2 linked regions of the Nothobranchius furzeri genome follow. The protein of the gene in region 2 interacts with the protein of the main gene of each other region in a pairwise test. Links are inferred from orthologs where the notes say so. Each region holds a gene or a part of one and is shown on either strand. Other genes may lie near its edges.

What was found.
Region 1: the proteins of vps33b (region 2) and vipas39 interact in binary tests that used the Homo sapiens proteins (3 or more experiments, as listed by UniProt). The link is inferred for Nothobranchius furzeri from reciprocal best matches to the Homo sapiens genes VPS33B and VIPAS39.

The regions. Positions count from the first base shown.
Region 1 is NC_091742.1:15,282,374-15,286,526, forward strand, and holds the start of vipas39 (spermatogenesis-defective protein 39 homolog), read left to right. Parts: upstream 1-1,350; 5' UTR 1,351-1,415; intron 1,416-1,747; coding exon 1,748-1,840; intron 1,841-1,988; coding exon 1,989-2,091; intron 2,092-2,172; coding exon 2,173-2,310; intron 2,311-2,417; coding exon 2,418-2,456; intron 2,457-2,524; coding exon 2,525-2,589; intron 2,590-2,659; coding exon 2,660-2,716; intron 2,717-2,827; coding exon 2,828-2,920; intron 2,921-3,000; coding exon 3,001-3,034; intron 3,035-4,048; coding exon 4,049-4,151; intron 4,152-4,153. Other genes in the region: activator of 90 kDa heat shock protein ATPase homolog 1-like, read right to left, coding at 534-613.
Region 2 is NC_091749.1:29,998,209-30,002,490, forward strand, and holds the start of vps33b (vacuolar protein sorting-associated protein 33B), read right to left. Parts: upstream 2,809-4,282; 5' UTR 2,683-2,808; intron 2,398-2,682; 5' UTR 2,366-2,397; coding exon 2,270-2,365; intron 1,882-2,269; coding exon 1,801-1,881; intron 1,722-1,800; coding exon 1,660-1,721; intron 1,563-1,659; coding exon 1,513-1,562; intron 1,233-1,512; coding exon 1,165-1,232; intron 1-1,164. Other genes in the region: hddc3 (guanosine-3',5'-bis(diphosphate) 3'-pyrophosphohydrolase MESH1), read left to right, coding at 3,226-3,337. UniProt on the Homo sapiens protein: May play a role in vesicle-mediated protein trafficking to lysosomal compartments and in membrane docking/fusion reactions of late endosomes/lysosomes.

The DNA of each region.
Region 1 (4,153 bases), on a different chromosome or scaffold from region 2:
AAAGGCCCCATTCCATTCCTGTTATAACAGCATTTAAAAATATCTCCACATGTGCTGCAGTGTCAAATAACACACACACACTCTCTCTCTCTCTCACCAAAATAACTCCCTCCAATACATCACAGATATGTCTGGAAGATTCTTCCAAGCTGCTAGAAGTTGCTGTTACCATGGATACCAGATTAGCTCCTATAGGTTTGATCATTTTCATATCTACACAATAAGAGTTTCATTTGGACGTGTAGTTCCAAGGATGAAGTACTGGGAGACTCTAGTCGTTTATGGTTCCTAGAAACATGGAAGAAAGTGTAAAAAAAAAAGACATATTTTCAGAATAAAAGCCTCCAGAGGCCTTAACATGAATCAGTCTTGTTTTTTTTTAAACAAACATGTCATATGAACCAGCTTTTAAAGTTCTTCTATTCTCAGCAAGTTGGTCATCACTTTCAGACGAGCTTTCAGAGTCTAGCTCCAGCTTCATCAACAGGAAGAAACAACCAATAACAAGAACCAGAATAAAAGGACACACCAACCAATGCCAGTTATTGACGTTGGTGGCATCTGCTCTCTCCTCAACAATCCATCGAGGATCTCCTTCTCCCCATTTGGCCATCACAGATCTCTGAAGTCTGATCGCCGCCGGCTGAAGACCAGTAATCTTTGAGTTTTAGCTCCACTATGACTCTGGAGAGGGTCTCAGGGACTCATCTCAGCTGAAACACGAACCAGCTGCTCAAAAGACTTTCAAAATAAAATCGCACAGGATGGAGTTTAACAAAATAAAAGAAGAGAGCCGAGATGTTTACTACAGTTTTCTTCCTCCAGGTGTGGTTAAAGTACTCAGATATACAGATACTTTACTTTAAACCACTGCTAGAACAATTAAAACTAAAATGAATCATCTATAGTTTACAAACGCAATGTGTATCAACATAGACATTATTTATATACACAATGAAAATCATCAAATCAATAGTTATTTTTAAAAATAAAAGATGGATGGGTTTAATGATAATCTTTGTTAAATGATTGATTTCTAAATGGTGGCGAATAATATAAAAACAATAATTTATTTGAGCTTTCAGCCACAAATAATGACCTGATGGGTAATTTAACAGTATTTATATATTCTATAAATTAACCAAAAACATTAGATAGGCAGGAATTTAAAAATAAAACAGATTTAACAGAGAGCTTCTATGTCTAAATTGACTCTGGGCTGATAAATGATGTGATTTACAATAAAAAATAAAGAAAAGTTAATTTTTTTAAACTTTCGCTGAGACATTTAAGGCTATTTTTTTAACCATTTAAAAACCTAATTTTTTACTACATCTCCCAGAAGCCCTTGCGCAGCCGTAAGTTCCGACTCTTCCGATAGAACGGAAGTAGGAAGAGAACCGCGGCGACTGAAGGTAAAAACATTCGGTTGGTTTTGTACGTTTATCACATTTTTACTTTGTTGTCTTTGAGTTTTCTTGTTCCGGCTTAAATGCTTAATATTTCTGGAGTGATTTTACTTTTCCCGCCGTTTGTCATGTCGGAAAATAGCAGTTAAACCCTGACGTTTCTGTTAGCTTGCTAGCATGCTAATAGATAAAATCCAGCTACTGTGGCAGTAACGAGCCTCTTGTGTCATTATTTAGATAAATATGAATGTAAAGTCACCCCATCAGCTCCAACAACACACAGCTTGCCCTTATAATTTATGTCAATAAACCGGATTGAAACTGTTATTTGTGTCCAGATGATGAAGAGTAAAACAGATGAGGAAGACTATTGGAACAGCTCCAAGTTTAAAGCTTTCACCTTTGAGGATGATGATGATGAGTTCAGCAGGGTAAGATCTGATCTAGTGTCTTCCACACAGCTGTTATGTGGAGATTACTGATAAACAATTTAATCGTAAACAGCTATAAATAATCCAAACCCCCTGTTAAAATAAACATCAAAACATGTGAGTTGGGATTTTTGTTTGACAACCTTAGTTGAAGGAGTCGAGGCAGGCGGTGAACAGCATCTGTTCGCTGGTGGGTGAAGACGATGATGATGATGTGGAGAAGGTCAGCTGGAGCGGAGAACCCATCGGCAGTAAGTCACTAAATCCACCTGTGGATAATCCTGAGCTGTGATTGGCTTCAGGAGGATGATGTGTGGCTTCTGTGTCCCCAGGTATTTCCTGGTCCGTCAAAGAGACGGCAGCATCCAATCAGAAAACAGACAGAGAGCCTGCCTTCCCCAAAGTCACCACAGAGACTTCATCGCTGAACAAAAGCCAGTCAGGACTCTCTCTAAGCTCCCTGTTCAAAGGTGAGACCTCACCGTGGTGCATGCTGGGTAAAAGCCTCGTTATCCTGCCAGAGCGAGGCGCGTCCTCCGTGTTTCAGGAAGGTCACAACTGTTTAATCTGTCTGCAGGAAAACCAAAAGGAGGAAACTTACAGACCTTCACAGACAGTGAGTCTGATGAATGAATGAATGAATTGTCTAATCACTTCACTGATGCCACTAATTTTGTGTTTCAGCGCTCGGCGACTCGTCTGTCAGGCTTTTCGCTCCTGAGCTCCGAAAACCAAAGTCGGAGTACAAGGTAACTGCAGGACTGTAATCTGATTACTGTGGGGAGTCCTCTGTTTTTTCTGATGTCATATGTTTGTCAGGATCTCATAAGTGATTGGTCAACTGAAGAGACGGTGCAGAGACTTCAGCAGGGAAAGGTATCTTACCTGTTTGTACCCATCGGTAGTGACTTAGTCTAATAGTCTTGGTTTAGTACTTTTTACTGTGTTTTTGTACTTCTGACTTGTAATTTTTGTACTTTTCTGCAGGTCGTGTCTCTGGAGAAGTTCCGCTCTCTTCAGGACAAACTGCTGCTGCTGGATTTTGCCGTCGCTGCTCACGACGGAAACGTCATCACGGCTGTAACCAAATTCAGACTCTCTAATCGATGGACTTTGACACCAGTCAGACCAAAGTAACGGAGTTGGATGTTTGTTTTCAGGTTCTGATCTTTTTAAAGAGGACTCTCAGTAAAGGTGAGTAGGGCTCTGGGGTCTCATTTATAAAACATTGCGTAGAATCCTCAGCAAAAAAATGTACTTACACCAAGTAGGTTTGTGACCTATAAGACATGGCGTACGCACAGCTGCACGCAATCTCCGCTTTATAAATCAGAAACGATCTAGAAAGGTTCTCAGCTGCTTTTTAGTCACATCCCACCCTCACCACGCCCACTTTCTGCCATAAATGGTCAATGCAAAGTGCCTTGTAGATCTCATGCATATACATAAGCCGGCTAGTTGCAGCATTTTGATCACGACCGCAGATCAAGGAAGCACAATTTCACAGAAGCAGAAGTTCAGGTACCTGTGGGTGAGGTGGAGAAATGAGAGGAAGTGCTTTTAAAAACAAATAAGAGAAAATCCACAGAGTGGCACAGCGTTGTTGAAGCCGTCAATGCTGAGTTCTTCAGAAAGATCTGTGGCGGATATAAAAAAAATGGTCCAATCGGGATTCGATCCCCAGACTCCTGGGTGAAAGTCACGCACGCTAACCAGTCACCCAGAGGGAGATCTCCCTTGTCCAAGTAGGCAGGCGCATGATCAATCAGGTCACAGTGACAGGACACACACACTGTCACAGACGCATGACATTCCGTCTCAATCTGTCCCCCTGCTGATATTCTGCATTCCGTATTCTGCGCTTCAGGCTGTGTGTGCGTGTGTGTGTGCGTGTGGGGGGTCTTGTTCTGTGTGAAAATGAAGCAGTACAAGTGATAATGCTGCAGGATTTCATAATTGTATCTTCTCAGCAGCAGCACTGCAGGTGCTCTCCATGTCCAACATGTGCGTAAGCCAGGTCCTTAAAACTTAAAGTTGCGCACATTTTTCTGATAAGTTTTCTTTCATAAATCCCAAAGTTTGAGTGGAAAGTTGCTTACGCAGTTTTCCGACCCCGTTTTGTGCGTAAGCAAGCTTGATGAATGAGGCCCCTGGTCCGGTTCTGCAGCAGAGTGAACCGCCGGGTTCTGACTCTGTGTGCTTCATCAGAGGTTTTATTCCGAGAGCTGGAGTCCAGACAGACGGCGCTGAGACATTTTGTCCACTACCTGAGTGAGACCAGAGACCAGAGCCTGCTGCTGGAGCTGCTCAGGT
Region 2 (4,282 bases):
TTAGCATTGCGCTAACCACTCGCTGCCAAATTGCAGCCTTTGAGATTAGAAAATCTCCTTTTGTCACATCGCAATTTAATTGCACATGCAGTTAATCGTTCAGCCCTAATATACATGCAGCTCTATGCTAAAAGTGTATTTTCAAAGAGGTAATGATGGATTTCTTTGTAAAAGTTGTCCATCTTTCCAATAGAAAGATTTGCCTGGACCAACGTAATGTGATAACAACGTAACGTGATTACGTAATTCCGTGAGGTTCATGTTCAGCCAATCAACTACTTAGACGTCATCGGCAGTCGACGGACCCCGAGCCGATCTTGCACCCGAGCAGATCCTGTACCGACACCGGCTGTTGCAGCATTTCGATCATGACCGCGGATCAAGGAAGCGCTATTTCACAAGCAGAAGTTGAGGTACTTGTGGGTGAGGTGGAGAAATGAAAGGAAGTGCTTTTGCAACGCAAATAAAAGAAAATCCACAGAGTGGCACAGCGTTGCTGAAGCCGTCAATGTTGTGAATTCTTCAGAGAGATCTGTGGCGGATGTAAAAAAAAAGATCCGATCAGGATCCGATCCGCAGACTCCCAGGTGAAAGTCACGCGCGCTAACTAGTCAGCCAAACAGAGATCTCCTCTGTCCAAGTAGCCAGGGCGCATGATCAATCTGGTCACAATGACAGGACACACACACTGTCACAGACGCATGACATTCTGTCTCAATCTGCCCCCCTGCTGATATTCTGCATTCCATATTCTGAGCTTCAGGCTGTGTGTGTGTGTGTGTGTGTGTGTGTGTGTGTGTGTGTGTGTGTGTGTGTGTGTGTGTGTGTGTGTGTGTGCGTGCGCATGTGTGTGTGTGTGCGCGTGTGTGCATGTGGGGGGTCTTGTTCTGCGTGAAAGCGAAGCGGTACAAGTGATAATGCTGCAGGATTTCATAATTTTATCCTTCTCAGCAGCAGCACTGCAGGTGCTCTCCATGTCCAACATGTGCGTAAGCCAGGCCCTTAGTCAACTTAAAGTTGCACACATTTTTCCACTAAGTTTTCTTTCAGAAATCCCAAAGTTTGCGTGGAAAGTTGCTTACGCAGTTTTCCGACCCCGTTTTGTGTGTAAGCAAGCTTTATAAATGAGGCTCCTGGTCTTGACAACAGCAGAGGATGACGTACCTTCTGGGGTGTGAAAATGATCTTGTATCTTTTAAATCTGCCAGCTGCCTTGTCAGCGTTAACTACATCTGAAACAGGAGCGTCAGAGTTATGAAACACCTGTTTCTGTATCTGAGAGAAAGTCCACATGAAAGAAGATGTTTATATATTTCCTGGTCTGAGGAGTCTTGATATCACACTTAGAATGAAGGCACTTCTTAAGGAAACATATAATCTTTCAAACAAATGTGCAACAGCTGAAGTGGATGATGGTTTAGAGCTTGTGATAGGTCAGTTTTATGATGTGGCTTTTTTTGGGAAGCGTATTAGATTGTTAGGCTGTTGAGATGTAAGAAAAACTATCCTTACCACAAATCCACTTGACAGTTTGTATTCTTGGGCGAATCAGAAAACAAAGCCTGTGAAGAAATGTCATGTCACGATGTCAGAGGGTCCGACAGGATTAGTGACAGTACGCTACTCCATGCAGTGTTCATAAGAAGCAGCAAAACTCACTGATCAGAGGTGCTGATAACAGGTTTGTATTCCACTTTGTAGAGTTTGTCCACTTCGTGTTGCTACAAAGCAAATGACAAATGTCTTATGAAATACTGGAAACGCTAGTGTCTTAAATCAGAGGCAGGAAATAAGGTTTACCTTTAGTGTTGACACATTTGCGATCCGATCCAGCGGGCTCATTAAGTCTGCTTCAATAAAAAGGTCTTTCTTCCCTGGCAGCTGTGTGATGAAATAAGACACATGCCATAACAACAATCTGTTCTACACAAAACTAGAAAAACTTGTCAACAGAAAGTTCATCGCCTGATTCAATTATTTATAATACCAGAATTGCACATAACTTGATGGTAAGATCACAAAATTCTCTGACGCTATTGTTGGGATGTGGTCAGAGGTGTACCACCTTCAATGACTGTGACAGCTGTTACGTCAGCCCTATAAATCAGTCATTACACAGTTGTACTGATTTTTCCACTATAATAACAGACTGGAGTGCTTGTGAAAAAGGTTTCTGGTGTTTTTCTTGTCTAGCGTTTGTCTAAACCTGATGCTTTGTGGCAAACAGCTGATCTAAGCTAGGTACAGGTATATGCGCGTGTTTTCCTACCTGTTCCAATAGGTAGATGAGCTGATCTCTGACCAATCTCTTTAGCAGAGAGAAGTCTGGGAACTCCGGGGAGTCTCTCCTTGCACTGTGAGCCATTCTCAACCACAACAGGACACGTCATTCAGTCACTGGTGGCACAGAAATAAATACAGTTATAATGCAACAAAGATACGTCCCCAAATTTAAAAAAACCATAAAGCGTGACGATGAGTGTTCCGTTCTCTCCACTACCAGAGTTAGCTTGTAGGCTAAAAACACACAAATCATCTTTGCCTGCACATTGTAAACGAACAGCAAAATGCTGACGTTTGTATGAAATAATTCTGCACAAACTATTACATCATATTAATTTGACTAAAGCTGCATTTTTCTGAGTAAACAGATTAATATTATGTTTTTCTGTCGAAGCCTACCTGCTTCCGTAGCATAATAGTTCGTGCGATCAACTGTTTCCCACCGGACACAATAGAGTGAAGCAACACGCCCTTATCACTGACTTCAAACTTCAATTTATATGTCGATGCTTTTTAAACCCAAACCATCAACAAATCCAGCCTAAACAAGTTAATATTCTTCAACTGCATCTTAGTATTCTGAGGAATTAGCTTAACTCCCACAAAATAATTAACTGTTTTGGTATCGTTTCATCAACAGGAGGAGTCATCATAGCAATCCGGAATGGAAAAAAAAAACTCCCTTAAATCAAGTATTCTTCATTCCGGACTCTTAGTCAAATTCACAGAAGTAGAAAAAACATTGTACAGATAAGATTATTATTGTTATTATTAGCTATTTTCAAGTTTTGGTTTTCAAAGACCCAAAAGTAAAATAAATTTTAGTGGGCGGAGCAGATTGTAAAACACGGAAATGACGTAACACCGATCTGAAACACCGCCGTGCTTGCTTCCCAAACACGTTTATGCAACCTCCCTTAATTTGATCAAACAGAACTGAACATGGATTCAGACGCAGCTTTGTTGTTGGAGGCTGCTGATTTTGCTGCGTTTAAACATCGCGATCAGAGACGCAAAGATACAAACTCAACCCCCTACATTAACCATCCCATCGGTAAGGAGAAAGCTCTGTGTGTGTGTGTGTGTGTGTGTGTGTGTGTGTGTGTGTGTGTGTGTGTGTGTGTGTGTGTGTGTGTGTGTGTGTGTGTGTGTGTGTGTGTGAATTGTAGATTTCATTTCATTACATTATTACGAACTAAGAGGGGAAATATTCCACATATAGCCCCACTAAGTTTTTTTAAACCAGTCGCTGCTGGTTTTAGTAAGGGTTCTACACCAAATGTTATAAATGAGGCACCTGGTGTCTAATTCCAGCACTCATGAGTGAGAGGACGACACATTGGACAGGTCTCCCGTCCATCACAGGGAAACACAGACAAATCATAAAAATAATGCACGTTTGTGTAGCATTTATTAGTCAGGGTCTTCAAAGCACATTACAGTCCAGTCATTCACGCTGATGGTGATACATGTAGCCATGGCTGCTCTGGAGATGGTAAGTGGTCTGTATTTGTATAGTGCATTCTTAGGATTCAACAACCCCCCAAGGCACTTCACAACACAATCAGTCATTCACCCATTCACACACACCATGGTGGGGGATGAGCTGCAATGTAGCCACAGCTGCCCTGGGGCGTACTGACAGAGGCGAGGCCCTCCGATTACAGGCGCCACCGGTCCCTCCGTCCACCACCAGCAGGCGAGGAGGGTAAAATGTGTTGCCCAAGGACACAGTGACTGAACCAAATGGAGCCTGATGGTTCAGACCTGCAACCCACCGATTACAAGGCAAACTCCTAACCCTTACTAGTCGACTAACTAACCACCAGTCACACACTCACACACTTAGGGATAATTTACACTCTAAATTTTAGAGTGTTCAGTTAATACTATAATACTATACTATAATAATATTCTAAGATGACTATGCAGGATTATTTCATCCTAAGTAGTAGAAGAGTGGATCAGGGAGCCCGAGGCATTATCCTAGCACATGGAT